Diceros bicornis minor: one gene and its partners. The protein of the gene in region 2 purifies or fractionates together with the protein of the main gene of each other region. This does not show direct contact. Links are inferred from orthologs where the notes say so. Each region holds a gene or a part of one and is shown on either strand. Other genes may lie near its edges.

Region 1 (8,162 bases), on a different chromosome or scaffold from region 2:
TAGAGTATCCCTGCATACAATGTAAGTAGAGAATGTTGTTGTTAAACTACTAATTGCATAAGGAAAAAATACAGACTTCACCATAGCAAAAATTAATATAGGTTACTAGCTCTGGTTACTAGTAGATTCAACCATCATTCACTCACCAAATATCTGAGTACATACAACAAGCCTGACACTATGCTAGGCACTAGGGATACAATGAACAAAAAAATAATAGTTTTTAATCTTCATGGGACTTGCATTCTGCTGTGGGAAATAGACAAAACACACAAAAAATAAGAATAATAAACGTGGTAAATGCCATTAAGCAGACGACCATGGCTTTGCCACAGATTAGTCTTTGAAAGCTGAACTGTGGAATTCTAAAACCAAAAAATAAATAATTCATGAAGAGTTACATCAAGATGACATGGATTCTACAGACCTTTCCTAATGCATAAGAAAACTACAGACACTGCCCACGAAAAAAGAGATCAATCTTTCACTGTCAAAGCTATTGGACGGCATTACTTAGCAATATAGCAATCTCAAAAGATAATTAACCTTACAGTTCCACAGAGTTAAAAAGCATGTAAATACAATCCTAAAAAAACATTTAAGAGGAGCCTATGAAGACATGACAACTAAATGTAATGTGGTATCCTGAACTGAATGCTGAAACAGAAAAAGATAGAAACTAAGGAAATTTGAATAAATTATAGACTTTTTTTAATATTGGTTCATTAATTGTAACAAATGTAAGATATTAACAATAGGGGAAATCGGGTGGGGCTATATGGGAACCCCCTACATGATCTTCTCAATTATTCTCTAAATCTAAAACTGCTCTAAAGAACAGTCTATTCAAAAAAAAAAATCTAAGATGGTTTCAGGAATTACGCGGGGGGAGTGCGAGTTAGTTAAGACAAAGTAAGAAATGAGAAGCCAAAAAACTCTGCAATGTGAATTAGAATATAAATGCTCAAGAAATTCAAAGGAAACCTACAGATACTTATGATCTCTATTCACACTAAAATTTTCCTAAGACAGAGATTAATGCATTTTTTCATGAAAACTAAATAGCTCTGCATCACAACATAAGGCAGGCAATAACATTCCCAGAGTGCACAATAAGCATTTTAGATCCTATTTATCAATAATGACCAATAGGCTATATTTTATGTATGGCATTGTCCTGAAATTGCCATAAAATATCTGGACCAGGATCAACTTCATAGGTCTTACTAAGTTACTTAAAGAAACAAGTTTATACTTCCTTCAGGAAAATTCATAAGCAAAGAGACTATATTTTTCCTTGGTAAGGGGGGTGGCAGGAAAGATTATGTATGAAAGGAGAAAAATAATTTCTCAGTCCAACTGGAAGCAATTTTGCAACTAGTATTAACCCACTTTAATGCCATAGAAATTAGTATAAATAGTTCAAGACACTAATAAAAGCTCTTAATTTATATCAATCATCTTCTTTCCAACCAAAACAAATAACGAATGCTTTCTATAACCTAACCTAAGACACCTAGTAGGTAACTCAATGTTGGATGATTTGGGAGGAACTCATCATCTCTCAATGTCTGAATTTTAAAGATGGTCATGAAAAGTGTGAGAAAAACAAAGGAGGATGATAATCTCTAAATTGTCGAGTGTCAAGTTTGCATAATACTGCAGAAAATTGGAATTACCACAAGAAGTAATTTTAGAGACAGCCATTACAAAATTAGGATCTTGTATCTAATACAAAGTACAGCGACAGTAGAAGCCTGACCAGATAAATGAAATAACAATTTCACTCATTAGATACTACGGAATATTAAGCATAAAAGAATCATTTACTCAAAATGATATTACATATTTAAATCTAATTTAGATAACTGGATGACAAATCTATTCCTACTCTACTCCATTACTCCCTAACCCCAAAGGAAATCCTACAAAACAAAGATGTTCGTTATTCTCAAGCCTTCTCTCACAGGAATTCTAAATATATAATTGGAAAATACTCAAGAAGAAATGGAATAATTAACATTTCCCCAGTAATTCCTGTTTGCACCACCATGAGGAGAATCAGACACTGATTCATGTTGAAACGAGAAAAAGAGAGGTGAGATGTGAAAAATTCTAAGTAAAATGATCATGACATAGCATCTGGCAGAGATCGGAAAAGCATCAACACTGCCAAAAGAATTGTCAGAGATGAAAGTCAAGAGAAGAAAACGAGGTTTTACAACAAGCACAGCCTAACCCAAGAGGCAAAAATCGCCACCGCCGCCGCCCCCAGCCCCCCAACTACTCCATCCTCCAAATCAGATATATCTCCTCTACAACTCAGACTAATTCCCCACCCAGGTGAAAATCATCCCAGAATTTTCTAGGACCCCCCACTTTCCCCCTTCCATAAGATCCGCACTTCTCAGGGCCGAGCCTCTGGGGAAAACAACGCCCAGATCCCACCCTCCTTGCCCAAGGTTGAAGAGGGCCCGTTCTCCGAACTGGGGCTTCCCGGGGTGGGCTCATAAAGCTGATGAACTGGGATAAGAGCAAGGAAGAAGGGTGGGGATCAAGGAAGGGGGCTGGGGGTGGTGAGACGACGGAGACGCGAGGAAGAAAGGGATGGACAGGAGGCTGAGGCTGGGCGGGGTGAGGCCAGGGGAGGGCAGAACCACGGGAGAGGGCCGGGCTGCGGGGAAAGGAGACGGCGAAGTCGGGGACGGAAGGGTCAAAATCCGACCGGCGGATCAAGGCGAAGAGGAGCCGGCGACCACGGGGCAGGGCTGGGGGTGGAACGCCGCGTGAACGCGAGGCCGGCGGGGAGCCTCCGCGAACGGCAGGGCCGCACTGGGGGCGGTGCGGGGAAGCCGGCCAGCTGCCAGAGTGGGGGAGCCGCGCACTCACCGCTCTGCTCCCCCAGGAACACCAGCTTGAATTTCCTCAGCGGATTCCCGAAGTCTCCGCCCGCGGACATGATGGAGCCGGAGGAGCTGCCGCCGCCTCAGCCCAGAGACCTCCCGGACCGACGCTGCTCCGACCGGTTGATGAAAAAGGCGAGAGGAAGGGCGGGCGCCGAGCTCTCTCGGTCCCTGCAGGGCCCGGCGGCGGAGCAAGGCTGGAGGGCAGGACTCCTCTCCACAGATCAGCAGCCGTCGCCGCCGCCTCACCGCGGAGTCGCCTAGCACCGAGCGAGGCCCGCGGACGTGAAGGGAAGGAGGGCGGTGTCGGAAGCAGCCAGGGGTGTGCTCGGGATTCCCAAGGCTAGCGCCGTTCCCGTCTCAGCGCCCGCCACGGAGCCTGGGCTGCAGGGAAGAAGGGTGGCGGAGCCGACCCGCAGACGCGTCTGGGACCTCTCACACGCAGCGCCTCAGCTCCCACAGCCGCCGCCGCCGCAGCCCAACCTGCTGAGTGCGCGAGCCTCTGGTGCGGCGCGGAGCGAGCCCGGGCGCGAGCCTGCCGCCCAGCCGGCCGCCGGCGTGCAAGCGTGCGTGCGTGCGCGTGCGCGTGCGCGCCACAGCCTGCGCCTTCCTGGTTTAGCCTGCTCTCCCGCAGACGAGGGCAGGTTACGTTTCGACTCGCGTAGGGAGAAGCGAGGAGGAGGTGGGGCGGGGCCCGCGGGAAGTGAGGGGTGGAACAAGGAGCATTAACGTCACTTACCTGATGAGCCAATCGGAAGAGGCCAAGGGTGGGCAGCGATGGGAGTGAGGTGGCAGCGCGAGAGCGCGCGCGGCACCAGCGCGGAGGACAGAGTTACACGGCGGCTGCCATGGGAAGTGTGGCGCGTCGCAGTCTGAAGGGAGAGGCAGGAAGGTCGGGCGGAGGCGGGGCCAAAATGGAGATGGTATTGACCGCAGCAAGGTGTGGTGTGGACGGAGGGCTATAAGGTGTGTTACTAGGTTACTCTTTCCTGAGCCCTCAACCTAGCCTCACATTGCTTAGATCCGCCCTTCACTGGTTCATGCACCCACCTTCTCCATCTTCTTTTGTGTGTGTGTGGAAGATCAGCCCTGAGCTAACATCCATGCCGATCCTCCTCTTTTTTTGCTGAGGAAGACTGGCTCTGAGCTAACATCTATTGCCAGTCCTCCTCCTTTTTTTCCCCAAAGCCCCTGAGTAGATAGTTGTCCGTCATAGTTGCACATCCTTCTAGTTGCTGTATGTGGGACGCGGCCTTAGCATGGCTGGAGAAGCGGTGAGGTGGTGGGCGCCCGGGACCTGAACCCCAGGCCGCCAGTAGCGCAGCATGTGCACTTAACCGCTAAGCCATGGGGCTGGCCCATCCATCTTTCTTATGGTAATTCCTCACACGATGTCATAGTAGATATATTCTCTGCTCCTGCTCCCAGGAGTTTCATAACTACCAGAAGCAGGGCCTCTATGTTTTTGCAGATGAGGAAACTGAAGCTCAGAGGAAGGAAATGACTTACCAAATCCATTACAAAATCCAAAGAAGCCATGAAGCGGAACCCAGGTTTTAGTCTTTTTCCTCCATCGAACCTCTGCAACCTCCTATTGATAAGCCTATCCACTTCCCTGGCCTGACTGCTTCTCTTCTGTTACCAGCCTTTGTTCCTCAGATATTGACAACTCTAGGTGACGCCCACCTTCCACTGTGCTAGAAAAGGGTTTAGACATCATGTAAACCAAAACCCTAATTTCACAGATGGTGAAACTGAGGCCCACGTAGGAAAACAGCTTTGCGAAAAGGTGACACAACAAATTAGAGGTAGAGCCTGAACTTGAGCCCAAGTGTGGGGAAGGGGATATTTTAAAGATCACTCTGCCTCCTAAAGCAGGGTTTCTGAATCTGCTATGGGTGGACCTCCCTTAAATTAGACGTCTGAAACATGTGGATTTTTCTGTAGAGAGGATCGGTAGCTTTCATCAGATTTTCAACCCAGTTCATGACCCAAAAAGTGAAGGTTAATGTCACAGCCAAGAGGAGCTGAAGGAGACGTGACAACTAAGTGTAATGTGGATGTAACTAACATGACATGTTAACTAACATGACAACTGAACATAAGTTTTAAACTAAATGGGATCCTGGAACAGAAAAAGGACATTAGGCAAAAACTAAGGAAATCCGAATAAATATGGGCTTTAGTTCATTACAATATATCAATATTGGCCCATTAATTATAACAAATGTATCATACTAATGTAAGATATTAATAATAGAGGAAACTTGAGGGGGTATATGGGGTCTTTCTGTGCTGTCTGCTCAATTTTTCTGTAAATCTAAAACTTTTAAAAAAAGTCTTAATAAAATAGAAATAAATAAAAGGTTAAGAATCTCTGAATTAGAGAATTTGGCATCCACACCTCGCCATACTTCAGCCACACCTCACCATACAATGGGACAGCATCCAAAAAAGTAATCCCTGCCTTTGAAGAAGACACTTTTAAACACTGGTATCAAAAATACTTCCCAAGATAATAAAAAATAAGTCCTTATGTTTATATATAGTGCCTTACCATTCACAAAACACATTTATATACATTTTCTCATTATTTGGGGGTTATTATTTACTTAGCTGTAAAAACGGCGGGATCAAACAAGTGCCTTCTCAAAACTGGGAATGAATTGCTGAATTAGAATAAATTAAGGGGAGAAATAGAGGTTCTCAAAATATCATCTATTCTGGCCTATCAAGACAACTGCTATATCCCCAAACCTCCTCCTTTATCAAAATTTACTCACTTCTGGTTCCTCTCAGCCAAATGGCAAAAGGATTTTGGAACATGTATCTAAAATGAAATGGTAAAAAACTGAGTTCTTACATGGACATTAGATTTTTTTTTAAATATTTGATTTTAAAAGTAGCTTGTCAGGTCTGGTAAGGCCCTCCCTACCAGTAACCCAGAACCCTGGCACACACGAAGAGCAACCAATACCAAGAGACCATTTAAAAAGAAAAGCTCTTGCAAACAAAAGTGAGTGGCTATTTTTTCTTTCTGATGGGTACCAGGTTTTCATTATGCTTCCTGAAATAACCTTTAAAGTAACATCTGAGGATTGGAACTATAATTACCTTGTACTTCCTGCAGAACTTTATGAATCAATTCCTCCCTGCTGCTTTGGTCTCTGTAGTTACCTAGACAAGTGATGCTATTCCTGTCATTTTGAAGAGAGATGTGATATAATCCACCTCTTACCTCAGATGTTTTAGTGTTTTAAGCTGGCATTTTGCATTGACACATATACAGCCTCATTCTCCTCTGAAGCTGCATTTATATCTATTGAGTACTCTGTGTAAATCATATGTCTTGCCATCAGAAATCTTGTGGTCTAAAAGTTGCATATTAGTGCTGTCTGGTTCATCAAATGGAGAAATTACTTGGGATAAGGAGAAATTAAAGAGGCTTTTTTCAAGGGTGCTTTCACCAACATCTTCACCTCTGTGATTTACACACACTTTTCTCTTTGCCTTGAATACTTTCCCCTCTCCCCCTCCCCAATTCCTACTCATCCTTTAGGTATCATCTTTAAAAAGTCTTCAAGAAGATTTCTCTGCTCCCATCCCCACCAACAATGTAATGCCTGTCCTCTCATTGTACTCTATTCTTCCCCATCACTTAATTATTATTAATTATCAGTCTTCTCTGCCTGACTGTAAGCTCCATGAGGTCAGAGCTCATGTCTTGTATCCCCAGCACTTGCAGAGTGCTTGCTATATAGTAAGCATGGAACAGATATTTGCTGAATAAATGAAATAAGTGAGAGGGATCATTTTTAGCTTTCTTCAAAAGATGAATGAGATTTGGGCATGTGGAGATGGAAAGGCAAGAGCATTTGGGAGAAAGAGAACATCACTTAAAATCACGTTATGTAAGTTGATACTACATTCCTTAACATCACTTATGAAAAAGATGCCCAGAACAGATCTCATCACTAAAAATTGGCAACAATGGAAGAAGACAGCTTTGGCAGCTGCAAATCAAAATTACCTAGACCAGTTTTCTTTGACCAATTTAAAAGGGATGTTAATTTGAAGCCTTTGAGTGTGTCTGGGAATCTACCACACAGAAATTATAATTACAGCCTTTCTTTCAGCCCTGAGAGACACAAAGCTTCTTGAGGGAAGACTGAGATTTCATCTTATTCCTTGTAGAAGACATTATCGGTTGCTTATCCAACAATATACACACAAAACACACACACACTTCCACGATGTATATTGGAAATGACAGATACTTTTCCAACTTCCCTTCAGCCAAGCTATAAGCACGTAACTTGATCTGAGCCGGTGGGAGGTGAAGGAAACGTGCCAGAGACTTCTGAGATTTTCTTCCCTGATGAAAAGAGATAGATGAGGGAAAACTGCCTTTGTCTGCCATTGGTTGTGGTTATATAAAGACACAGGATGTAGAGGTAAGACATCTTGTGAATATTAATATATATTCCTGAATAAAAAAGCCAACCCATTGATGATGGCTCAGCAGAAAGCTAAAAGGCATCATTGAGCCATTGTACCAACCTTGGAACTGGCCTTCCTCTGGATTTCTTTTTAGCAAAATAATAAATATCTTTATATTTAATAATGTCTTCATAATATGTCTTTGTCATTGTTACTTGCAGCTGAAAGCATCTGACATTCTCGTTTTTAGATCTCTTAAAACACCTCACACAGTTCTTTGAACATTAGGCACTCAATACTCTGTGTGTGTGTGTGTGTGTGTGTGTGTGTGTATAAAATACAGTAGTAGTTATGAAACTGGAAGTTCCTTTTTTCTGTTTACTACTCCCTAAAAAGGATTTATTACTCTTGGAGAGGCAGGAAATCAATAGAAGGAGAAAAACTGCCCAGGTAAAAGGACTGAAATCGTAGTGCTCAAATTTGAAACAAATAATAGGTCTGGCAGGAACTCAAATTCTATCAAATGTGAAGCCCTTCTAAGCCACTCTGCAGGTTATTATAATAATTGCTTCTAAAAATAATAGTGGGTCAATATACAAAGCATAAAAATGACAAATGCTCAATAATTCAAGGTGACCAATTAAATGAGCACAATTAACACAAGATATGTTTAAGCAAGTCTCATTTTAAAAAGACTACAAGAAAAAAAAAGGAGAAGACCTCATGTCAAAACCTGTTTTCCAAATACCTTGACCTACAATGATGTGCCAATGGAGAAGTATAAAGGTTATTTAGTCAAGGTGGAGGAGAAGGCAGTAG
Region 2 (7,921 bases):
AAAGCCCTGCGGCAGCTCACCAAGGCCATAGAGTGGGTATAAATATGGGCTCTTCCCATACCGGGCCAGGGACTCGCTGTACAACTTGATGCGGTTGATGGTCTCAAGACAGGGCTGGTCCAGGTAGCTGGGGGGACGGGTTCAGGAGAAGAGGCTCCAATAGCAGCACCCCTGGCTTCTCCCTACCCAGGCCCCAAGCCATCCTTCCCACCACCCTCAATGACCTGGGGAAGACTATGGGTCAAAAGCAGGGAAGGGACGGGAGAGGCCACAGGTGACTGTATGACCAAGTACAAGAGATGTACAGGGTGGGCTGAGGCAGCAGCAAGCAGGAGCGGGGAGGGCAGGGTGCAGGCTGGGCAAGGGGTGGTCCACCATGCCAGCTTCCCCTCACTCATCAGTGCGGTAGAGCGCCAGGGCATGGCCAGTGAAGTCGATGACATCCTGGCCCAGGTCAAACTTCCGGTAGACTTCACGCATGCTGGTGCTCTGGGGGTCAACGCCCTCAAAGGTCTTGGGGTCATTCTCATCAAAGTTTGCCACAAACACCAGGAACTTGCGGAAGCGCCGTTTCTCAAACATGCCCATCAGATCTGCGAAAGCAATGTGAGGAGAGCATTTGCACCACAGAAAGTGAACCTCTCCTTCCCACCAGGCAGGCCGAGAAAGCAGGCACCCCAGCTCCCAGCTGAGTTCTGTTGCTGACCACCATGTGACCTTACGTTAACTGCTCTGCCTTTCTTGAGCTCAGTTTCCCTATCTGTATGAAGAGGGATGGCTCAACAGGCTCTGAGGGCCCTCCTGGTTCTGACACGTGGGGATGTTTCACCTGTTAGGTGGAGCCCCTGTCAAAGGCTTAAGTCTTTCAAGAAAGAGATCCCCCACACATCCCCTCTGTGTATGGAGTCCCCTCCTGGCAACAAGTGTGAGGCACAGCCTGGGGTGGTGCAGAGAAGACAGAGCAAGGGGCTTCTGGTACTGCATGGGGAATGTGACCTTGGGCACGGGGCACCCTGCTCTGGACAGCTGCCCTCCCATGATTCTCTGGCTCAAGGGACGTGCACTCACTGGAAGCCAAGGCTTCAGTCTCGGTGGACGGCACTTTGTAGATCTTGCCCCCCTTGTAGACGAAGCTGCCCTCCACCACTTTGAAGTCCAGGTAGCGTGTCACCTCTGTATACAGTAGCATCTTTACCAGCTGCCCTGTGGGGCAGTAGGGAGAAGACAACAATATCAGCATGGCTCCTTCCAGAAGTTCTAGCTGGTCTGGCTGCCCTTTCTCTGGAACCTGACCCTCCTCTGGTTGTCTCAGTCACCCCCCACAATACCTCCTTCGTCTCCCTCACCATTGGCCATGAGGAATTTGGGGATCAGGTCAACATTCCAGTCTCGGCCCCGGCCCATCGCCTCAGGGGGCCCGTCCAGCAATTGAAAACGCTTATACAGCTGCAAGCAGAAAGGAGAGAAAGAGAGGTACCTCAAGGACTAGCCCTCCCTGCCCCTGCCCCCAGCCCAAAGAACCTGGGGAGCTGATTCGGTACCCTATGTGAGAGATCAATGAGAGATAGGCCTGGCCCTGGCAGCCTCACCTCCTCCAGGGGTGTGATGGAGGAGCTCTCGCCCCCATAGTAGGGATTCCGGTCCATGTGCAGCACCTTCTTCCCATTCACGGACATAATGCCCGACAGGATGCATTCCTGGGGAAGGAGTGACATTCACTGCATTTCCCACCTACCCACATTCCCACTAGCAGCTCTGATTTGTTCCCCACTCCAAACCTGAGAGAAGAGCAAAGCCAGAAGGACTCTACCCCAAAGGACAGCTCCTTCCACCCCCGGCTGGTCGCCTCGCCTAAAATTGGGGGCAACGGCTTCATCTCACCACAGCCTCCTTTATAACCTTGCTGAGCGAACAAGGAGGAGAGAAACACTGGCGGCGTTGAGGGAGAGAGAGTGTCCAGCAGACACACAGATGGTCCTCCGGCAACTAACATGCCAAGAAAGTCCTCTATCTACGTAGATGCCCACGGAAAGGCAGGTAGGAGGACACAATGATCCACGGAGGAGACCCAGCTGCACAGCGAATGGTACCCGAAAGGGAAGTGAAGAAACGCTCACCCGGTCTTGAGATCGCAGGCCCCACCCTGGGCTGCTCTTTCCTCAAAGGGCAGGAGCCTTCTCGGCCACGGGAGGGGTTTCTGTGCCCCGACTGAGGGAGATGAGCCTCTCGGGGGGGGGGGGGGGGGGGGTCAAACGGGGTTTGAGGAAGGGGGAAGATAAACACCCTCCCCCATCACTGTCACTAGCCCAAGGACAAAGGCTGCAGATAATACTCAGCCTGAGATCTCCAAGGGAAACCGGGGTGAGGTAGCGGGAATGTGGTCACTGCCCCCACTGATGCTCTTTCTAGAACATTCTATGGGTCCCCAGGCCCCATAAGAAGCCGGGGAGGGAAGATGACGGCCCACCCCGGCGACGCCCTCCGACCCGAGGTCCTCATACCAGGATTAGCGCCAAGATAGGAGCGGATGCTAGGAGAGCGAGGGTGAGGGGCGAGGGGATCAGGAGGCACCGGAGGACATCGGGACGAGTGGGGGGGTGCGTCTTCCAGCCTGGCAGGCCAGAATGGGGAGGTGGGGAGGGATGGGAGTCGGGGCCCGGGGAGTCGAGGGGGCGGCCAGGAAGAGGGCTGCTTGTTGGAGACCGGGCCACGGCGATGGGTAGAGGCGACGTCGCGGGGGGTCGGACACCCGGCTGTCTTTTTGGGGACCCGAGCGCCGGGGGCGGCAGCGCCGCGGTGGGCAGTGACGGGAGGATGGGGCCGGCGGCCGGGAGGTGCAGCCCCGCGGGAAGGAGGGGGCGATGCGGGACCCCAGGCGCCCGAGGCCGCACTTACGGTCAGGCCGGTCCCCAACACGATCACATCGTATTCCTCGTCCATGGTCAGGCCTCGCTGCCAGCGCAAGTCGACTCCTCCTCCTCCTTCACCACAGCCGCCGCCGCCGCACTGGACCAAAGATGGCGGCGCGTCGGCCGCCGTCGGACCCCTCCGCCGCGTCAAAGAGTCCGGCCCCTCCCAGCGCCCTGCCGCGCCCGACCGGGGCCGCTGCCTTTCCGTCTCGCCTCCCAGGAGGGCTGCCGGAGCCCGGGACCCAGCACCACCGCGGCTCCGCGGGCGGCGGCGATGGGCAAGGGCCCTGAGGCGGGCGGGGCGGGGCGGGGCGGGCCGGCGGCCAGTTCTGCGGCCCGCGAGGGATCCGTGCGCGGGAGCAGCGCGCGCCCCGCCCGCCCCGCCCGCCCCCCGGGAGGCTCGGCGCGTTCCCGCGGGCTGGGCGCGCGCCGCTGCGGCAGCCGAGGGCGACCCCTTCGGGACGTGAGGGCAGCCTTTGTAGCGGCCGACTCCCTCAGGCGTTGATCGCCGCCGCGCCACGGCACTCTCCCTACGCTAGCCGGTGAGGGGCCCAGCTTGCTAAAGACCCTCTAGGTCTCCCCTGGCTCCGGGAGAAGCAGCCCACAGGGGAACTTCGAGTCCTCCCCACCTCCCCCTTGGCCTGGCTCAGCTACAGCTACATCCGGGCGCCTCCTCCCGCAGCCCTAAGCCAAGCTCATCCCTCGTGCCCAGTGCAGAAATGAGTGACAAGAGGCCCACGCATGGCGACCCGTCTTTATTTTATTAGGAAGGAAACCACCGAGTACCCCAGGCTCCTGCCAGGCACTCCTGGCGGCAACATGCCAGAAACCCAGTGATCATACCCAGCCCACCTGCCGTGGAAGACCCTTCCTTATCAGGCCACAGAAATAAACCCCAGTGTACTGTTTATTGTTAGCACAACATCACCAAAAAACAATAACACCAGCCAAGTGGGACAGACAGCTAAATAGTACTTCAGCACCCCCAAACTTAGGGAACCTCCAGCTCCTGGCTGCTGCAGGGAGCCCCATAAAGCGTGGGGAGGGAGCACTGGCCACAAAAGCACTATAAACAGCAAGGGGTGAAGGCAGAGAGATGAGAATAAATAAGGAGAAAGGGGGAGGAGGAGGGGCCCTAGAACTCAGGTCCCCTCCCCTCACAATGCCCAAACCTGGGAGATTTTTCTACTAGCAATGCAGAATATATACATCTTCTTGGTAGAGATGGGGGGTGGGCAGCCCCAGGAAAGCCCCTCAGTTGAACAGGGAGCAAGACAGACTGAGGGGAGCTGTGGGTTCACACTATAGTAGGAAGAGGGGAAGCCCTTCAGTCCAGCATGCCTCAGGGTGGGAAAGCAACAACCTGGACACATCATGCCCTCAACCCCCCATGGGCACAGGGTCACACAATCTGGGTCAAAGAGATGGTGGGGCCCTTGTGGTCATCAAAGCGGTCCATGGTCTTGAGGCTGAGGATCATGTGCAGGCCATAGGTGAAGATGAAGAGCATGAAAAGGGAGGTGAGCAGCCCCATCCAGATGCCAGGAGAGAAGAAGCCGGCACAGTCACTGGCGTAGGAGAACTGCTCACCTGTCACACTGAAGGCCTGGATCTGGGGCACAGAAAGAACCATGTAGCCCCACACAGAGGGAGGCCCAGTAAGGGCCAGGATTCCCGAGTGAGTGGGTAGTCTAGATCTCACGAGATGGGAGCACCGTGGGGATGGGACTCTCAACTACATTCCTGAGCCCAAACCCAAACTCAAAGGATGCTGGGACTCTTCAGGCCTCTGTTCCCTCCCCCCTCTCCCAGTATCCTGTGAGCTCCAGCCTGGGATTGCGGACTCGAGGCTCAGTCCCTCGGTGCTCCCCGCTCCCTACCTGGAAGTCCTGAAGCGTGATTTGCCAGAGAGAGGGCTGCATGCGGGGCACAAGGATATTGCCGTTCTTGCTCCAAGTGCTGACATACTCGCAGTGGAAGGAGTAGATGCTGGGCCCCGTGACCCGGGAGGCATTGAAGGAGACAATGGAGCCGTTGCTGTGGATCTCAAGGTGCTCCATGGTAAACCAGTGTCGGGCGGACACCGGGTAGAAGCGGTTAGCCAGAATAAACCTGAGGGAGGCCACGGGGTGTCACGCAGCTGGGGAGGCTGGGGCCACACCAGCGCGCCCACACCTCAGCCACCCCTCAGACTCACTTGAATGTCACTGTGGTACCAAAGAGGTGTTCGTAGGTCAGCGAGAGCCTGCAGAACCAGAGTAAGAGGCAAGTTGTCAGGCTCTGGGAGGGCCTTGAATGTCTCAGAGCAAATTCCTCAGATCTACTCCTACCTAAGCTGCCCTGGGGTCTCACAGCCACCTGAAGAGACAGCAACCCCACTTGACAGATGGGAAAACTCAGGCTCTGACACATTCTAAGTCAGGAACCAGTATGCACGTCCCCCACCTCCAGCTGAGGGCTCCTTCCTCGGGCTCCCTTGAGCCCAGTGACTCTCCTTTCAGCTCCCTCCTGGAGTCACTGAGGTGCCCAGGTTGGGCTGTGGGGGGTAAGGGCAGTCTCTCTTATCACACAGGAAGGATACAGGAGCCCCAGAGCTGGTTTAGGCCTGGTACACGCCCTTGTGCAGTCGCCTTGATGTTGCTCAAGGGGGAGGCGTCAGGTTCCCAGGTGACTGGGAAGTGTTAACAACTAAGGTCCCAGTCAAGGACTAGAGGGCACTGGGAGGCAGAAATCTGAGCATGCCCCACTCCAAGAGCCCTCCATCAGCCCCATCCCATGATACCACCTACATCCCCACAGTGAACATGCCCCCCAACACACCCCCCACCCCTGCAGTGGCAGGTACTTTGCCCTTACTTGGCAACGGAATCATTCCAGAAGGAGCCGGTCAGGTTGAGCTCCTGGACCCCAAACGTGAGGGAGGTCAGGTCCTCCCAGTGGTCCCCGTATGCCACCGAGAAGTTTTGGGCCCAGAACAGGATCCGGGGGGCGGTGTCATTGTAACTCACAGGAGGATGGATCACAGACGATGCTGGCTGTTTTTGCAACAGCTGGCGACCTAGCCCACCAGCCACCATGGCTACATCGCGGGCCACCTGCAGAAACAGTCCACAAGCCTTCTCTCAACAGCCCTGGGAGCAGGCCCCAGACCAAGTGGGTCTGCCCTCACTGTCTCCACTGGGCACCCTCTCCACCATCTGCAGTCCCAAGGGTCATATTTGGAGGCCTTTCCTCCAGGAAGCTTTCCCCTGCTGGCCCCTAAGCTTTTGTGAGAATCCTAGTCCCTCAAACTTAGGAATACTTGGACTGTTGCCTACGTATGCCAGCCCGTAAGACTGACAGGGCAAAACAGAAACCTGCTGCCTAGAAGAAGGAAGGAGGACTTTACTGTTCACCCCCATTCCCCCCATATTGGCCCAGGGGAGAATCTGGCCTCCCCAATGCGCTCCACACTCTGCTTGAAGTCATCCCCCCTCCAGGCCAACTCACCACGCGGCCTCTGCCCACACCTCCCAGAGCCCCTGAGGAGAGGCACATACCCTGGAAGGGCGGAGTGCTGTGAGGGCTGCTGTGTATGGGACATCTTCGGACTTGAGCATGCTCAGTACCTGCCCAATGACCTCATCTGAGGGACAACGGGGAGAGCAGAGAACCAGGTCACGGGCGGCACTTACAGCAATGCTCCCCACGCCTGTTAGAACCCATCTGACCATTGTTGCACAGCAGAAGCCAGCAGAGGCAAGGCCGTGCCCTTCCACACGTCACATCAGTGCCCCCTCTTGATGGCGTTCAGTGAGATCACCTCGTTGAGGTGGGGACCACCAGGCATCTGCACTGTGAAGTCCCCCCACCTCTGGCAACTGGCATGTCCTCTATGGTGGGACACTGAGACCCTTGCAGAGCCAGCTCCCATCAACCTTCACTAGTGTTTTCAGTTTCCAGTGAGGATCCCTAACAGTAGCTGCTTCTTATCCCACCTACCCCCAGCCTCCTCCTGGACATCTGTGGCCTCAGTCGTCGACTCCCTGATGCCAAGCCCTAATTAAGTGGAACAAAATAGAGATAGAGAAAACTCCAAATCCACCTGTGGAAGGTTCACAAGACATTTCCATGGGGGTGACTGTCCTTTATAGAAACTCTAGGATTCACGCTGCCTGAGTGGAAAGTGGCATGGAGGCCCCTAGATGTCTTGACTCCTCTGCCAGGCAGGGCCCAGCTGGAGAAGGGTGAGGTCTGGGGGCCAGCATTTCCCTACTCAGCTGCCAGGTGCTCCGAAGCAGGGGGACTGCCCTGGGAGTGAGGAGGGGCTGAGGAGCTGCAGACCAGCTTTCTGGGGCCCAGGGCTGGAGGAGGACAGAAAATGTGCACCCTCCCTGACCTCACTCACCATTGCCTGTGAGGACCTCCCTCGGCGCCATCAGACCTGAGCTATGGAAGACACAGAGCGGTTGAGCCCCTGCAACCCAAACAGCTGTCCCCCACCCCAGGCTGCCATCCTTTCCCACCAGCCCCACTCACCAGGCACACTCTAGCATGGGCTCTGGGAGCTGTGCTCACTCCTCCCTCTGCACCTTTGCTCACCTCATTGCCCTGCCTGGAATCCCTTGCCCCTTCTCCCCTGACTTCACAGACCCACTCAAGGCCCTGCCACCTGCTCCATGAAAGGGTCCCGGCTAGGCGACTTGGCTCCCCACCAGCAGGGCCCACTTCTGCCTCGTCTCTGGAAGCCTGACAGGCCTAGCTCAGTGTCAGGCACCAACTCCTGAGTCAAAGCCCGGCCGGAGGCCCTTCCCACCTCTTCTGGCCATACAGGGCACCTTCTGGAAAGGCTTCAAGGTGCTGAACGGGAAGACTATCATCTTTGGCTGAGTTGTGCTACCAGAGCCCAGAGCCCAGGGTCTTACTGCTCTCTGGGCCCCAAGGCTGAAGGCTGGGCCATACCTGGCTGTGTAGGGCAGGCGGATGAGCAACAAGGCCGGGAGGCTGGCATTAAGCTTCAGCTCCCGCAGGGT
Region 3 (7,960 bases), on a different chromosome or scaffold from region 2:
AAAAGCTGTCAGGCAATTGAGGCTTATATGCTATCCTGACCTAAGGAAGGGAATAAGGGCCTGAGCCTTCAAAAGGGAGAAAGGCAATGCACCAGAAGACAAGAAGAGCAGATGTTTGCCCTGCCACGCAGGTAAGTCTTACAGATAAAAAGAAATCTCTGGTAATTGCTCTCCTCCTCAGCCAGGCCCCTATTTAAACTCTTTTAGGCAGTTAAGGGAGAGGGAAAAGATTTTCCTGAGTCTGCTAGGTCTTGACTGCCTTCAGCTCAAAATAACCCACATGCCAAAGTGGCACATTTTGGGGTGGCATATTTTGCTCCCCTTAAGTGGTATATGAACATGCATACAATGGAGTATTACTCAGCTTTTAAAAGGAAGGAAATTCTGACATTATGCTAAGTAAAATAAGCCAGTCATAAAAAGACAAATACTATATGACTCCACTTACATGAGGTCCCTAGAGTAGTCAAATTCAGAGACAGAAAGTAGAATGGTGGTTCCCAGGGGCTGCTGGGAAGGCAGAATGGAGAGGTATTATTTAATGGGTACAGAGTTTCAGACAGTTATTGCTAATGGGTAGAGTTTCATCTTTTTGTATGATGAAAAGACTTCTGGAGAAAACAATATGAATGTACTTAATGCCACTGAACTGTACACTTAAAAAATATTAAGATGGTAAATTTTATGTTATTTATATTTTGCCACAATTTAAAATTTAAAAAAAATTTAAACATATGCAGTAGGTACTTCATATTAAATACTAAAGTATGAGGAATGAGCCTCATAAACAGTGGCTGATGCCTCTGAGAGACAGTGTTAAGATGCTCCAAAGAGGCGACTGTGAGCTGAAACAGTGCAGGTCGCTGTTGGCAAGGGGGCACCTCTGCAAAGGGCCTGCAGACCATATCTGCCTGGTGTGGCGGCCTCACCATTTTCCCAATGGAGAGAGGAAGCCTAAGGCCCTGAAGCCAGTGGACCTGTCATCCCTCCAATTTCTGCTTGTAGGCTTCCTGTGTTAACTGTCACCCTGTGGCCGCCTACTCCTGCCCCTGACCAGAGAAGTTCTCCTGCCTCTGAGTGCAGTATTAGTTCCTTAACTCTGAGGTTGAAATATTACAGAATTAGAGAACACTTACTGAGTGCTTTACATACATTACTTCTAATCATTATCTTCACAGTGAGCCTCCAACAGAGGTTTTGTGATTCTCGGCTTACACATGAGGAGACTAAAGTCCCTAAAGGTTAAGTAACTTACTCAAAGAAACACAATAAGGACCTAAATTCTTTCCATTATACCATGTGGCCTCTAAGTTGATTAAAAAAAAACAGTAAGTTCTCTACAGTAGCTACCATATTTTTAAAGTCTCCATAAGGTCTCAGAGGCAAAAATGTACTGAATCGAGAAACTCACAGTTGCCCCAAAATAGTAATTGCTAATATTTATTGAGCATTTAGTACAGGTCAGGAACTTGGCTAAACTCCAGTTATACTACCATTTTTGTGTGTGTGTGTGTGTGTGTGAGGAAGATCAGCCCTGAGCTAACCTCTGCCAATCCTCCTCTTTTTTGCTGAGGAAGACTGGCCCTGGGCTAACATCTGTGCCCACCTTCCTCCACTTTTTTATATGGGACGCTGCCACAGCATGGCTTGCCGAGTGGTGGTCTGTGCGCGCCCAGGATCCAAACTGGCGAACCACTGGCCGTCACAGTGGAGCTCGTGCACTTAACTGCTATGCCACCAGGCCAGCTCCATATATTACCATATTTAATACACCCAATAACCCAGAGTGGTACATGTAAGAGTGCCCACTAGTCCAGTGTCTGGCACACTAGCAAAGGCTCAGTACGGTCATGGAGGACTGGCATTTCCTTCACATTCAAATATGCGATTCCCAAGATCAATGCCAATTCTGAAACGGCTGCTACTTTATTTTTTAAGCATTGGAAACACATTTCTGGATGATTTTAAGGCCAAAAAACACACTCGGTTTAAACTCTAATTCAATGCTGCTATTGTTTTCCACTATACTAACCCTAGAAATATCAGAAGCTATACCAGCAAGACTAAGCTGCTGAGAACACGTGTGTTGGCAGTGGACAGGCATTTAGGCATTCATTCAACAGGGAGGTCTTGAGCGCATTCTGTGTGCCAGCCAAACCCCCCATCTCCCTTCCTCCCCTCAACAAACAAAACCAAACCTATATCTAGCTTTCAAGAGGGCTCAGGTTGTCACATGGATCTGTATCCTTTGCAGCAAGTACTACAGTACCGACCTTCAAATTTTTATCCTTACAAATTCAATCTCAAGAATCTTCATTAAATGTCATGGTTCCAGCTGAAAAAGCTCACTTTTTTTTAAACGTGTTATTCTCTTTACTATAATTTTATAAAAGAACTTTGTGGGGCCGGCCTGGTGGCGCAAACGGTTAAGTGCATGCGCTCTGCTGCTGGGCCAGGGTTGGCGGGTTCGCATCGGGCAGGCACCCACGCACCTCTTGTAAGGCCATGCTGTGGCGGAGTCCCATATAAAGTGGAGGAAGATGGGTGTGGATGTTAGCCCAGGGCTGATCTTCCTCAGCAAAAAAAATATATATTAGTATATAAAGTGCCGCTTTGCTCTTTCTAGCGATGGCAGGTTAGTTCTCTGAAAGGATCTACTCCAATTTATTTCACCTGGTTATACTCTGGTTTCACGGCTTAAAATAGCAAAAAACGAGTCTTTGTCTACAGGAGTCAGTTTGCGGCTTCCAGGAATCTCGGTTCTGCCCACCTCTCTCAATTGCTGGGAGCAAAATCCCCTACCCGGGTCTCAGCACTCCACAGCGCGGCCCGGCGGCGTCACCCTCCCGGCACACAAAAGCCGGCCGCGAGCTCAGCCGCACCCTGCTGGAGGGCCGCCCCGCTTGCGCAACCGCGCACGCCGCCCCCATTCCCCGCCCGCCGCGAGCCCGCAGTGGGGGCCGCCATCTTGTACCTGTGGCCACCTACCGCCTCAAGAAAGACACCTGGAAACTCCTCAGCAGCTAACTTGTACGAGAAGGCTGCGCAGCAATCACTGCGCTCAGATCACCGCGCCTCCCAGAACCAGGACAGCCTCTCAGCGTTCCATACCACCACAAAGGAAGCAGCCATCTTGTACGGCAAACGCTTCCATTTCCGGGACCGGCCTGCGACGAAACAAGGGAGGTGCTAGCCAACATCGGCGACTCTCGCGCCCTCTGGCAGCGGGCCCGAGCAGTAATGCCAGCTCGGACCTGTAGGGGATTCTGCTTCCGGGTCTGCTCGGGCGGGGCCGTGACGTCACGCGTCCCGGCTGTGACGACTGGGGGAGCCTGGACTGAAATGTGAACTTGCGCTTGAGCGATAGGGGTGTGGCGGGGCGTGTGGATGGGAAACTGGGGAAGGAAAGCAAGTTTGTTCAAGGGCTTCTGCGTGGTCTGTTAGTACTCCGCAGGACAGGGCGAGGCACGCGTTATTGTTACTGTTTACAGGGGAGAAAACAGACTCGCACTCTTGGTCGCTCTGCTAAACCCTGGCAGAGATGGGATTAGCGGTCTCTCTCGCCCGTTGCTCTAAAATGGAATAACAATCTATTCTGGGGGACTGTTGCGAGGATTAAGTGACTTTTCAGATTACAGTGCCAGGTTCTTAGTATTAGTTTCTTCTCCATTGATAATAGTAATATAACAACAACAACCACGTGCCAGGCACATATTATCTGTACTCAACCTACGACTCTGAAGTAGGGAGTATCAGCATTCCCATTTTACAAATGAGGACGGTGAGGAAAGCAGAAGTAATTTGTCCAAGGTTACAGGATAGCCAGTAGCAATGCCCAGGCAGTTTGGGGTGGGTGTCTCTGATCTTAACCACTACACATTCTCTCTGGGAACAGGACCCTGTCGGGGTATGTGCTAATAAGATGGTAAAGAAACAGGAACCAATACTTCTTGCAGCCTTGTTGTGACGAGCAATGGGGCTTCTGAAGAGAGGCTCATTAGGGGAGGGAAGAGAAGAGGGTGGGAGGAAGAGAAGAAGGACTGGCCTCAGGGAGTACCAGAGGGAATGGATTAGAGAGGCTAGAACACAATTTTTGTCCTGTCTGCACCAGAAGTGAAGAAATGGCTTCTAGCTTGCAGAATGGGAAGTGGGAATGATAGTAATAATAATAATCGCTATGACACGGAGCAGTTACCATATCTATTCTTAGAAGATGTTAATCCAATCCAGAAATGGAGGCTGAAGTTGAGAAAAGTAGGTCCCTTATCCTTGGCAATCTGTTTACTTACCTATAAAACCAGGGTAATAGGGCCCCCTAGCCAGGTTTTTAGGAAGAGAGAGAGTTCTGGTGTCCTCCGCCATCACTTGGTGTGCCTTTTGATGGGAAACTGTGTTGGCAAGGCTGGGGAAAACAGGCACTGTGATACCTATTGGTGGGAGTGTACATTTGTATAATGTCTGTTAACTTAGAATAATCCCTTGTACAAATCTTTTGATCAAGCACTTCAAGGCCTAGAAAATTATCTTACAGGTGGGCTCCCCCATGTGCTCAGACATATGTACAAAGAGATACTGTGGGAGATCAAGATTTGGCCACCCTGAAATATATCTCTTTACCTTGATTGTTTTCTCTGAGGCACAGTTGACCTCCCCCACTACCTGTCTAAAGAATTTGACATAGTAACTCCTTCCTGGAACAGACCTTCTATCTGATGGCTGTAATATAATGTAAAATAGATGTTACAATAGAAAAGGCACCAACAAGCCCATCTTATGTCTCTCTGGCCACATTCTCTGGATGGCCCTGCGAGGAGTTGCCAGACAAACATTTACATTTATAAGGGAAATCTCCATTTGTAAAGGTATCGCCCTCTCTGTATTGGGAAAAGGGGAGATGGCCTCATTTCTAGAGACTTATCAATGTGGAAGGTGAGGCCTTAAATCTGCATAATAACCTTACTCTTGTTTACTGTGCTTTAGTGGTAACTCCTGTAACTGACTCCTCCCACCCCCAACATCCTCCTTTGTCATTGGCTGAACATGGTATTTAAGACGAGAATTTCTGTTATTGTGTTGAGAAACGCCATGTCCCTGCTTTCTCCCATGTATACATGTTATTAAACTTGGTATTATTTTCTCCTGCTAACCTGTCTTGTTAATTATTTGGCCAGCCATAAGAACCTTAAGGAAAAGGGCAGAGGGAGATTCTCCCTCTCTCCCACCAATACAATCCAGCATTGTTTGAATAGAAAAGTCTGGAAGCAACCTAATTGTTCATCAATGGGGGACTGGTTTGGTTTTAAAAATATGACACATCTATACAGCCCTTAAAAAGAATAAAGCAGTGCTATTATGGAATGAGCTCCAAGATTATCACATATAATTATGATTGTGTTTGGCTGCAAATAACACAATACCCTTCTCTAGTGGCTTAAACAGACAAGAATTAATCTATCTCATGGAATAAGTAGTCCAAGGAGGCCTATGGGGCATAGTGTGCCATTAGGGATGCAGACTCTTTTTCTTTTGTTTTTAAAATTGCTTTAACCTTTTTTTTTTTATTGTGAATCATAATATATATAAAAAGTGCATAAAACAAATGTTCAATTTAATAAATTATTTTGATGTGGATATCTATGTAATCACTACCTAAGTGAGGAAAGAGAATGTCGCCAGCATCCCAGCAGCTCCCCCTTGTGCGCCTTTACCGTTCACAAGCCCCTTCCACCCGCCAGAGATAACCATTATCCTGACATTTATGGTAAATACTTCCTTGCCATTCTTTGTAACAGTGGGTCTCAAAGTGTGGTCCCAGGATCAACCATACCAGCATTAACTGGGAACTTGTTAGAAACGAAAATTCCCAGGCCCCAGCCCAATTCTACTTAATTGGAAACTGGAAGGGGGCCCAGCCGTCTGTGGTTTTAACAAGCTTTCCAGATGATTCTGATGTGCTCAAATTTGAGAAGCATTGCTTCAAAATAACACCACTAAAGTGTACACCTATGGACAATACAGTATAGTTTCTCTGGGTATGTCTGAATTTATATAAATATGTAATATAGTATGTATTGTTTTATGTCAGCTTCTCTACTGAGTATTACTCTTTTGCTTTGTTTTCATACTGAAACAAAGCACATTGAGAAAAGTGCCTAAATCGTAAGTGAGCAGTTTAATGAATTAGCACAAGGTGAACTCACCTGTGTAACCACCACTTATCAGGAAAAACAACGTTCCTAGCCCCCTGATGTCTTCTGCTTGCTTCCTCCCAGTCCTCTCTCTCTCTCTCCTTCCCACAGGCAAATCTACCTTGTTTTAAAACTATTTGCATATGCCAAGGTTTGAAGCACCAGCTGGAGTGGTGGAAGCAGATTTTACTCAGTAACTGCTGACAGCAAGGGAAGAGCTGAGCTCTGTTCCTATTTGCACTGAGGTGACTGGGAGTTTTAAAGGAAGAGGGTAGGGAAGGAGAGAGAGTGGGGCTCCAGTGGAAAATTACAAAGTGTAGGTCACTGTAAAGGTGATTATAGGGCCAGCCCGGTGGCCCTATAATCCTGACACTCCTGAGTTGTAGTAGATACATCTCAAAGGGACAGAGTAAAGAGTCATAATTACAAGCCCTTTTTAGTAAATGCTCTAAGAAAAGGAAGTCAGGTGTTGGTGAGAATAGTGAGTTCTGCTGGCAGTGTTTGAGCTTTCTCAGGCAGGCATTTTAATGGGGGGCTGGGGTCATCCTAAGGACACGGCCTCATGCTGCTAGAAGTCATTCTAGAGATTGGTTGTCTTTTAGTGCCGAGGTTTGGATGAGTTTTTAGGTGCCCGAAGTTCTGTAGTTCTCAAAAGATAGCCACTGGAGGGGCTGGCCCCATGGTGTAGTGGTTAAGTTTGGTCTGCTCCACTTTGGTGGCCTGGGTTCACAGGTTTGGATCCTGGGCACATGACACCACTTATCAGCCATGCTGAGGCAGCAACCCACATACAAAATAAAGGAAGATTGGCACAGATGTTAGCTCAGTGCAAATCTTCCTCAGCAAAAAAAGAAAAAAAAAGCCACTGGAGAAAGTGAAACCAGCCATGAAGAAGACAGATTAGCCATCATGCTTGAGATCTTGGGTAGGTATGCATGGCATCACGGTGCACAGCAGATCTGTGGCAGGAATGCCACTCAGGTCAGCATTGAGCCGGCAGCCAGTGGCTGGCCCTCCTGGGCCCATTGCACACAACTATGGGTCTGTGGCCCAGCCAGTCAGAGATGCTACAAGTCAGGAAATAGGGCACAGGAATGAAATAACTTCCCCAAGTGCTGGTGCCTCTTTGTCCTTCAATGACATTCATACTGGACAGCACAAACCAAAATAAACAGGAACATCAGGCCTTTGCACTTTTATCCACATAATAGATATAATTATGGCTTAAATCACATAGAAGAAAAAAAAGAGCTACAAACAAAAAGTATATTTATGTTGTTTTTTATATTTACTGATGTAGTTACCTTTATTTGCGCTCTTTATTTTTTCCTTTGGAATTGAGTTACTGTCTGGTATCATTTCATTTTAGCCTGAAAGATTCCCTTTAGCATTTCTTGTAGTGCAGGTCTGCTAGTGACAGATTCTCTCAGTTTTTGTTTACATGGGAAAATCTTAATTTCGCTTTCATTTTTATTCTATTATTATACTGTATTACATTAATTGATTTTTGGATGTTAAGCCAACCTCATATTCTTGGGAAAAAGGCCACTTGATCATGGTGTATAATTCTTTCTATATGTTGCTGGATTTGGTTTGCTAATTTGTTGTTGAGAACATTTGCATGTGTATTCATACAAAGCTGTTGGTCTATAGTTTTCTTCTTTTGTGATGTCTTTGGTTTTAGTATCAGGGTAATACTGGCCTCATAAAATGAATTGGGAAGTGTTCCTTCCTCTTCTATTTTTGAGAAGAGTTTGTGAAAAATTGGTATT
Region 4 (7,938 bases), about 130 Mb from region 2:
TGGTGAAAACAGGCTGGAAAATGCCAGAAAGAAAAGAAAGTGATGCAAAAGTCATTTTTTTAAAAATTTCATCATTTATTTCTTGATTTCAATGATAAAATGCACACATAACTCTTGTCTACTGAGGCTAAATTTAAGGAAGAATTTTATGCTTAACAAGAATGGCTTCTCGATTTGATTCTTGTAAACAGTCACACGTGGTCAACCTGCAAAGCTATCAAAAACACATCAACTTTTCCCCACTTAAGTCCGCCCACAGTAAATGCCATGATACAGGTACCTGTGTGTGGGTGTGCAGCTGTTTTGTTTGTTTGTTTTTAATGATACCTGGCCCCTGATTTTGAGTAGCCCGGGCAATAAATTTTGTTCTAGGACAAAATCAAAACCTGATGTTATGATGGTAATTAGACTGGAAGCTTCGGGGAGGTGGGGACTGCCCACTGCCCTTCATATCACCAGCAGCTTCGTATCAGTGCCCCACAGGATACTCAGAAAATGTCTGTTGACAACTGGAATAATACAGAAAGCAAACTCCCTAAGTCTACTTCAACGGCTCGGAACGGCTCGGAACGGCTCTCAAGTTCTCTTTGACACTTTTGCCTTAAAACAAAAAAAAAAAGGATTCTGTTATCAGAAATTATTTGCTTACTTCTTCATCTTTCAAATGAATGAATATGCCTCTTAGTCAAGGGAAACGTCTTCAAGTTCTCAAATTTTTCCCCCAGCTCTTTCTTCAAACGATGGGGAGGTATCCTAAATAGGAAAACGGCATCGCATTTGAAGAATTACAGAGGTGCTGAAACGTTACCTCTGGAGTCACACAGACTGCTGTAAAGCAAGGTTTCTCAGCCCTGGCACTAGTAACAGATTGGGCCAGACAACTCTTTGCCGTGGGGGGCTTGTCCTCTGCATGGTAGGATGTTGAGCAGCATCTCTGGCCTCTACCCACTAGATGCCAGCAGCACTCCCTCTCAGGTGTGAACCAAACATGCCTGCAGAGGGGCCGGCCCCGTGGCTGAGTGGTTCAAGTTCCGTGTGCCCCACTTCGGCTGCCCAGGTTCGTGGGTTCGGATCCCGGGCACGGATTTACTCCACTCATCAGCCATGCTCTGGTGGCATCCCACATACAAAATGGAGGAAGATGGGCACAGATGTTAGCTCAGGTCCAATCTTCCTCAAGCAAAAAAAGGAGGATTGGCAACGGATGTTAGCTCAGGGCGAATCTTCCTCACCCAAAAAAAAAAAAAAATGCCTGCAGACATTGTCAAATGTTCCCCAGTTGAGAACTACACCTCTCAACTCACACAGGCCTGACTGAATCCTGGCTCTGCCCTCTCACTACCTGTGTGACCACGGGAAACAGTTCTACTTCTCCTATACTCCAGCAAATTCCTCATCTGTAAAATGGAGCTAATACCGCAGAAATGTTGTGAGAATTAAATGAAATGATATATTACAGGATTTACATGCACAGAACATCCAGTGCCCGAGTGGCTGCCCAAGAAATGCTAAGAAATGAGAGAAGGCTAAAAATTAACTTCCACAACCAAAGGAACCTATCTTCAGGCCTCCAGGGCACTGTAGTCTAGATGGAAGAAGTGGCTGAGATGGAAAGAAATGAAAAGAGAGAGAGGCTGGCAATGAGCAACTAGCACTAAAGTATTTCCCAAGCATTTCTCCAAGAAGCCGGCTTGGAGTCAAGGCCAATGATGTTCAACTTAGTTTTCCTCGGGCTACTCTAACCTCACAAAGGATAAACCAAAAATATCCCCAAATCACAAAACTCCAAAATAAACAAGTCAACAAGCCGGAAACTTTTTAGTATAAGCAAGAGGAATTTACTACAATGTCTACACAAAAATACAAAAAGCACCAGACTGCCAAACCATCATCCTAGGTTCGGGAATCTAAATAAGTCACTGAAAGTTCTAGACAAGTAGTGATGATGACTTCAACAGACACTTCTAAAAGACAAACTAAGAATACTCTTCTTACAAGTCCCTGACTGAAGAGTTCTGGGTTTCCTTCATCTCTACAGTTTTACTCCAATGAACAGTTTCTGAGATTACAGGAAATTTAGGGATTTTTCCATTACAGAGGTGCCAGAGACAGAAAGACAAACATGTAAAAAAAATTTTTAATTTTAAAAAAGCAATCAAATTCTGTGTATTGATTTTCTCAGGACGCTGAAATTCTATAAAAAGATTATGGTCACGTGACAATTTGGAACCCAGCAGAAAAGTCATTCCTCAAAAGAACCGTGGTCACGGGATGTGTCATCACTTAAAAAGAAAAAACACCAACAACAAAACCAACTAATACCTCCACAGCTCTGGTCTGCACTTAAAATTCTCATCCGGCCTCTTTACGTAGTCAGTTGGAAGAAAGAAAGGAACACAATTCGGAAACCTTAGCCAGAGTTTGAATCAGATAACGCCCCAAACCGCCTTCAGCCCCTAGGAGTGGCTTTACATTCCAAACGCCTCACCTGAGTGCTCAGAACACAGTAGCAAACGCTCACCTGGGCAGCGGGTCAGAGGTCACCAAAATCAAACTGTGAGAGCGCCTTTGCTTTCTCTACGTTAACCATTCGAGGGTAGAGTTTGGTTTGGGTGGGCTGGGGCGTCTGGGTGTGTCCCTGGGTGACGGGTATATTTCTCCCTGTGCGTGTGTTTCCCCGGGTGTTTGCGTGTATGTCTCTCTCTCCCTGGGTGTTTGGCTATGTGTGGGTCCCCAGGTGTTCACGGATCTCTCTTTCCCAGGGTGGTCGTGTGTCCCTGTTTGTGGATCTTTCTTTTCCCAGGTGTGTGTGTGTTACCCCCGGATGTCTGGGCGTCTCTCAGGGCGTCCCCGCGTGTTTGGGTGTGAGTCCCTCTCCCCGGGTGTGTGGGTGTGGGAACCCCTCTTTCCTTCTGCGTCAGTCAATAGGAGGCAGCGAGCGATAAGCTGTCCCCCGTCCCGGGGCGGACGAGTGACCCGCGCAGGCCCCGCGCGCCCCCCGCCCCAGCTGCCCGAAGCCCAGGCCGCCCGCGGGGCTCCCTCAGGCCCTGACGCCCCGCGCACCCGACCCCTGTCTCCGCCCAGCCCCGACGGGAGTCCGCGCCCCGCTCACCTCGCGGCCACACGGAGGACGCCGGGGAGCTCCGGGCCGGTCCGTCTGGGTGCAACGAGGAAGAGAGGGTTCGGGACTTGGCGGGCAGGAGGCAGCGGCGCTAACCGTGTGCGCTTCCAGTTGCTCCCGTCCAGCACAGAGGGAACAACATGGCGACAGGCCGGGGCGGGGCCCGGGGAGGCGGGGCGGGGCCTGGACGGCGGAGCCCTGGAGAGGCGGGGCGGGGCCCGTGGCGGTGGGGCGGGGCCTAGATTATGGAGCCCGGGGAGGCGGGGCCTCGAGGTCCCGGTCCGCCCCGCCCTCGCCCACTCCCTGACCGCCTGTCCTTTCTGAAGCACGGTTTTTCATGGGGTCTGCGGTTCCTCGTGTCCTCCGGCTGCGTTCCGGAGAGAGACAGCACGAAATGATAGTTATCTTTAAAAGTTTACATAGAGTGGAAATAAACAGATCGCATAAGCACAATCACAAGGATGTTGTGATTACCATGAGAAAATGAATGTGCAAAGAACAAAAGGGTAAATGAAAAATGAAAACAGCTGTGATATTGTGGAACAACAGGAACTTTTTTAAATTTAAAATTTTTCTTTAATCTTGTTAAAATACTGCCTCTGTCAGAGAAAGACAAACACTGTATGACCTCTCTCATATGTAGAATAGAAACTAACACAGAGAGAGAACAGTTTGGTGGTTACCAGGGGGGAGTTGGGGGGGGCATAAGGGGTGAAGGGGCGCATTTATATGGTGACTGACAAATAATAATGTACAACTGAAATCTCACAATGTTATAAACTATTATGACATCAATAAAAAATTTAAAAAAAATACTGCCTCGGTCATCTCTAAATATAAAGCAGTAATGGGAAAAGGCGGTATTGGGGAAGCTCTTCTAATTCCTGTCTTTATAGATTGGGTCGCGCGCATGGATCTTACGATATAGGCCCCTGGAGATCCGAAGGACTTTTAGTGACCTCTCAATATATTTTGTGGGGTAGATTTAGTTTATTTTCTAAGAGAAGCATCTCACTTTTATGATTTGCTAGGCCCACAACCATTAAATAACCTCTGGCTCTTTGGGGAGTCATTTTCAGGTAATGAATCTAATGTAGTCTTTTCATTCAGCACTAGAAAGGTTATATTTGAGAGAGTTTCTCACAAGTATAAGAGACAATTTTAGAATACTCATGAAAATGAGGCATAAATGAGTAATAAAGATTGAGCTCTAGTTTGAGCTTAAATGAATTTTTCTTTTATAGAAAAAATCTATGTTTTATCCATGCAGATATTTCCCCAAGGACGTATGAGTAAAGGTTTATAAAATACAAATCTGTTGAAAATAGGGAGGGGGAAGAGATATTCATTACCTTATTTTAAAACACATAATTAAAACTATGCAATAAAAATATAAGAACATTAGAGTTAATTTTCCAAAAGAAAAAATATATAAAGTGTTATGTACTAAATTGCAACAAGCAATCCACGGGATCACTAAGAAAATGCTACCTGAAAATCCTATGTCATAATCATAGTCAAGGAGTGATGGAATAGGATTTTATCTCTGCAACTGCTAATACCAACCAGCTATTAACAAGTGCTCTCACGGAATTATTGTATCTTGACTTCAAGTAGTAAGACTTGAGAAATCCAAGAGTTTTCAAAAAAGGGATCTAAGAAGGTCCTACAAGTGATTCCTAGGCTATTCCAAAACGTAAGTGAGGCATACAAACCTATCAGAGTGTAGCTTATAGTCAGCACTTGAAGAAAGAAGGAGGAAAGTTACTTTTTCTGAAATAACTATTACTTGGACACTAGCCAACTGACACAAGAATATTCTTATATTCTGGTCTCTTCTACTGTTCACTTCTTTACCTAATTGATTTGACAGCGCAAGAGTAGGGTGGGTCACAAGATTTGTCCCTGGAGCGTGAGTTTGGGGGATTTTTGTTGTTGGGTGTGCGTGGTTGGCAAGCTGACACAAGTTAGATAGATGGTCTCTATCTCTCTTGTTCCATGAATTTGTTGACTGACAAAAAACATTTAAGAACTGACCTAGTTTGACGCCCTTCATCTAATTAGAATATTCGTCTTTATATTCTGTAAACTTGTAATGCATCACCCATGGAGGAAAAAGAGGTCAAGGTTGCTAGGCATTAATGATTCTATGACCAGAAACCAGGCAAGGAAAGAGTTAATGAAAATCTGATCCGCAACTAAACATAGTCTGTCAAATGTTTTCCAGACAATGAGAAAATTAAATGTGCTATTTTTCAGAAGTTGATGTCCTCCTTTTTGCAGATGTTGCCATCCTACAGTGAAACTTACACGGTTGCAGCAGGACCATTGCAAACCGCTCCAGCGGGAAGCGTCCAAAAGTTACCTTGGACCTGTTATGGAATGGCATGTTACATTGAGCTCATCGTGTAATGGCGTTGAACGGGGTTATGTAACGGCTTGCACATGCACCCTGATTAGGCCCAGTTGTTACACAGTTGTAACATATCCTCTGCACTCTGGAGTATCAAGTCTTCAACTGCACTAAGCTGGTGGGCTGGGGGGGTGCACTGCTTTGGGGACTATCCCTGGTGTTCCCCAATGCTTGTGCAAGCAATAAACCTTTTTTCTTCATCCACTTCAGCCTTGGTTGTCGTGATTTTTGGCTCTGCACTCATCAAGAGACAGACCCATTGAGTTCGGTTACAATTCCTTCCCTTAAATGACACTTACTTGTTACTATGAGCACTGGGAGTTAATACCCCATTTCAAGCTGGAGTCTGAAAGAAGTCACCTCTGGTATCTCTGATGAAAAGTCACAAGTAAGTGGGCCCCAGACTCAAGTGTAATAAATACTGATTATAATTAAATTGATTATACTTTTCACATATAAGGAAAAACACAGAACTTAATGGTAGGCAATTTGACCATTAAATGATATCTAAACAATCAGAAATTTGATATTTTTCCCAAGTCATTGGCAAAAATAAGAGATTTGTTCTCAATATTGCATAGATGCTCTTGTATAGCTGTACTAAGAAGGAAGAAAAGCATAAAAAGTAATTCAAAATCTGTTATATTTGGCTTTAAAGTCAGAGTGAAAATAGATAACAATAAATAATGTTAAGTGAAAAAGAACATTACCAAATAGTATATGGAGGAAAATCCCAATTTGGTGGAGGAAGCACTTTTTATAATATATAACTTTTCAATAGATATTGAAATATTTATCTAACATTTATTTATATGTATTTATATATTTATATTGTCAATATCTCAAGCCAATGTCACACTCTTCCTGTTTGTCTTGAAACTAAATTCAGCATGTTTCTTACACTAATACAGAACTTTTGTTCCTGATCCTTAAGTCAGATAAAATCTCAATATATGAGGAAATACCAGAAGTCTGATTTCTTTACTGCTTAGTTTAAAAAGGAGTACTGAATCCAAAAAAGGAATAGTAGCATCACCCTTAATCTATATATCATCAGTGAGCAAATTTCAGAATTTGCAATCTTCAGGTTGATGTGATCAAATGGAAATGGACCCACAATCATGATAGAGCATATATCCTTTCATGGGTCCCATGAATTCCGTCCAGTGGTTGATGCTGAATGGCCACCTGGCTGTCAAAAGCCACCAATACACTTCCTTCCATCAGCCTGCCCACTGTCGGGAGAGGGGGAGCATGGGAGTCAGGAACCAACCCAACTGGCACCTCCCAAGTTAGTGGGTAACCACCACACCAGCCCAAACCCTTCCAATACCTGCAGCATAGACACACAGCTACTCTCTCCCCTTGGGTAATTTTAAGATTTGCAGAAAACGAAAAGTCATTTCACATTAATACTTATTTATTCAACAAATATATAGTGAGTGCATACACTATGCCAGGTGCTGAGAATACAGAGGTAGACAAGACTGAGGAGGAATTCAGGGGGTGTCCCCAGGCACCCTCCCTGCGTTTTCGCTCCCATCCACCAGCTGTGTTTATATCATATGACCTTACCTTGGTGAATACAATCGATTCAGGCCCTTTCCTAGGAGAGCTCAGAAGAGTGGAGGTGACATTCAATAAGCAACTAAACAAATGTGCAGTTACAAGTTGGATTAAGGCCCCTGAAGGAAATAAACAAGGCACAGTCGGTGGGAATACAGGGTAATGGTACCAGAGAAGGCAGGAATGGGGAGGTGACTCATGCTGAGCCCTAAAGATGAGCAAGCAGCAGTGGGAAGGGCTGTGGAAGAGCGGTGCAAGTTGAGGGAACAGCAGTTTGCCAAGAACCTCACATATAGAAGCATTCAATAAAATTCTAAATAAAGAAAAGATGCAAACTATTAAAAAATCTTCATAATTGATGAAAAACTGAAATTATAATGGTTTCTCTAGGCATAACTAGATCTAATGTATTCTCTTAAAAATAATAAGTGCATGTTGAATAGTGCTGCTCTTTCTCTACCACACTCTCAACAAAGCTTAAGTCCAGTAATCACAGATGGCAGAATGGAATAGGCATTAGAATTCAGGCATGAAGTGGGGAATTTGATGCCTTTGTTGATTTCCTGATGAACGTGAGTCATAAACTGACCCTCACCTTTAAAGGCAGTAGAAGGAAAACTCCAGACACACCATGGTTACATTATGTAAAAAGGTATATTTGTGTGTCTTTGTGCAGGCGTTTGTGCATACGAGTGTTTATAAAAAAAACAATAAAAGCAACAAGGGAAATCAAGACAGTTGAATTATTAGGGCAGCAGGATTCTGAGAATTGTTATTTAAATTTTGAATTCCATGTTATAATATTCTTTTGAGCAATAAGTGGAAACTTTTTAATGAA

Evidence for each region.
Region 1: the proteins of GDI1 (region 2) and RAB6A purify together in Homo sapiens (affinity purification with mass spectrometry; 3 studies listed by BioGRID and IntAct, counting the BioPlex papers as one, with this or other methods). This does not show direct contact. The link is inferred for Diceros bicornis minor from reciprocal best matches to the Homo sapiens genes GDI1 and RAB6A.
Region 3: the proteins of GDI1 (region 2) and RAB7A purify together in Homo sapiens (affinity purification with mass spectrometry; 4 studies listed by BioGRID and IntAct, counting the BioPlex papers as one, with this or other methods). This does not show direct contact. The link is inferred for Diceros bicornis minor from reciprocal best matches to the Homo sapiens genes GDI1 and RAB7A.
Region 4: the proteins of GDI1 (region 2) and RAB9A purify together in Homo sapiens (affinity purification with mass spectrometry; 3 studies listed by BioGRID and IntAct, counting the BioPlex papers as one, with this or other methods). This does not show direct contact. The link is inferred for Diceros bicornis minor from reciprocal best matches to the Homo sapiens genes GDI1 and RAB9A.

Annotation. Positions count from the first base shown.
Region 1 is NC_080746.1:57,117,794-57,125,955, reverse strand, and holds the start of RAB6A (ras-related protein Rab-6A), read right to left. Parts: upstream 3,404-8,162; 5' UTR 2,960-3,403; coding exon 2,890-2,959; intron 1-2,889. UniProt on the Homo sapiens protein: The small GTPases Rab are key regulators of intracellular membrane trafficking, from the formation of transport vesicles to their fusion with membranes.
Region 2 is NC_080781.1:138,372,036-138,379,956, reverse strand, and holds the start of GDI1 (rab GDP dissociation inhibitor alpha), read right to left. Parts: upstream 3,119-7,921; 5' UTR 2,941-3,118; coding exon 2,896-2,940; intron 1,698-2,895; coding exon 1,590-1,697; intron 1,447-1,589; coding exon 1,347-1,446; intron 1,204-1,346; coding exon 1,069-1,203; intron 594-1,068; coding exon 395-593; intron 128-394; coding exon 1-127. Other genes in the region: ATP6AP1 (V-type proton ATPase subunit S1), read right to left, coding at 4,312-4,521, 4,790-5,021, 5,107-5,154, 5,766-6,004, 6,449-6,534, 6,891-6,947, 7,297-7,337, 7,851-7,921. UniProt on the Homo sapiens protein: Regulates the GDP/GTP exchange reaction of most Rab proteins by inhibiting the dissociation of GDP from them, and the subsequent binding of GTP to them. Promotes the dissociation of GDP-bound Rab proteins from the membrane and inhibits their activation.
Region 3 is NC_080741.1:93,393,861-93,401,820, reverse strand, and holds the start of RAB7A (ras-related protein Rab-7a), read right to left. Parts: upstream 3,077-7,960; 5' UTR 2,989-3,076; intron 1-2,988.
Region 4 is NC_080781.1:11,084,354-11,092,291, reverse strand, and holds the start of RAB9A (ras-related protein Rab-9A), read right to left. Parts: upstream 3,253-7,938; 5' UTR 3,113-3,252; intron 1-3,112. UniProt on the Homo sapiens protein: The small GTPases Rab are key regulators of intracellular membrane trafficking, from the formation of transport vesicles to their fusion with membranes.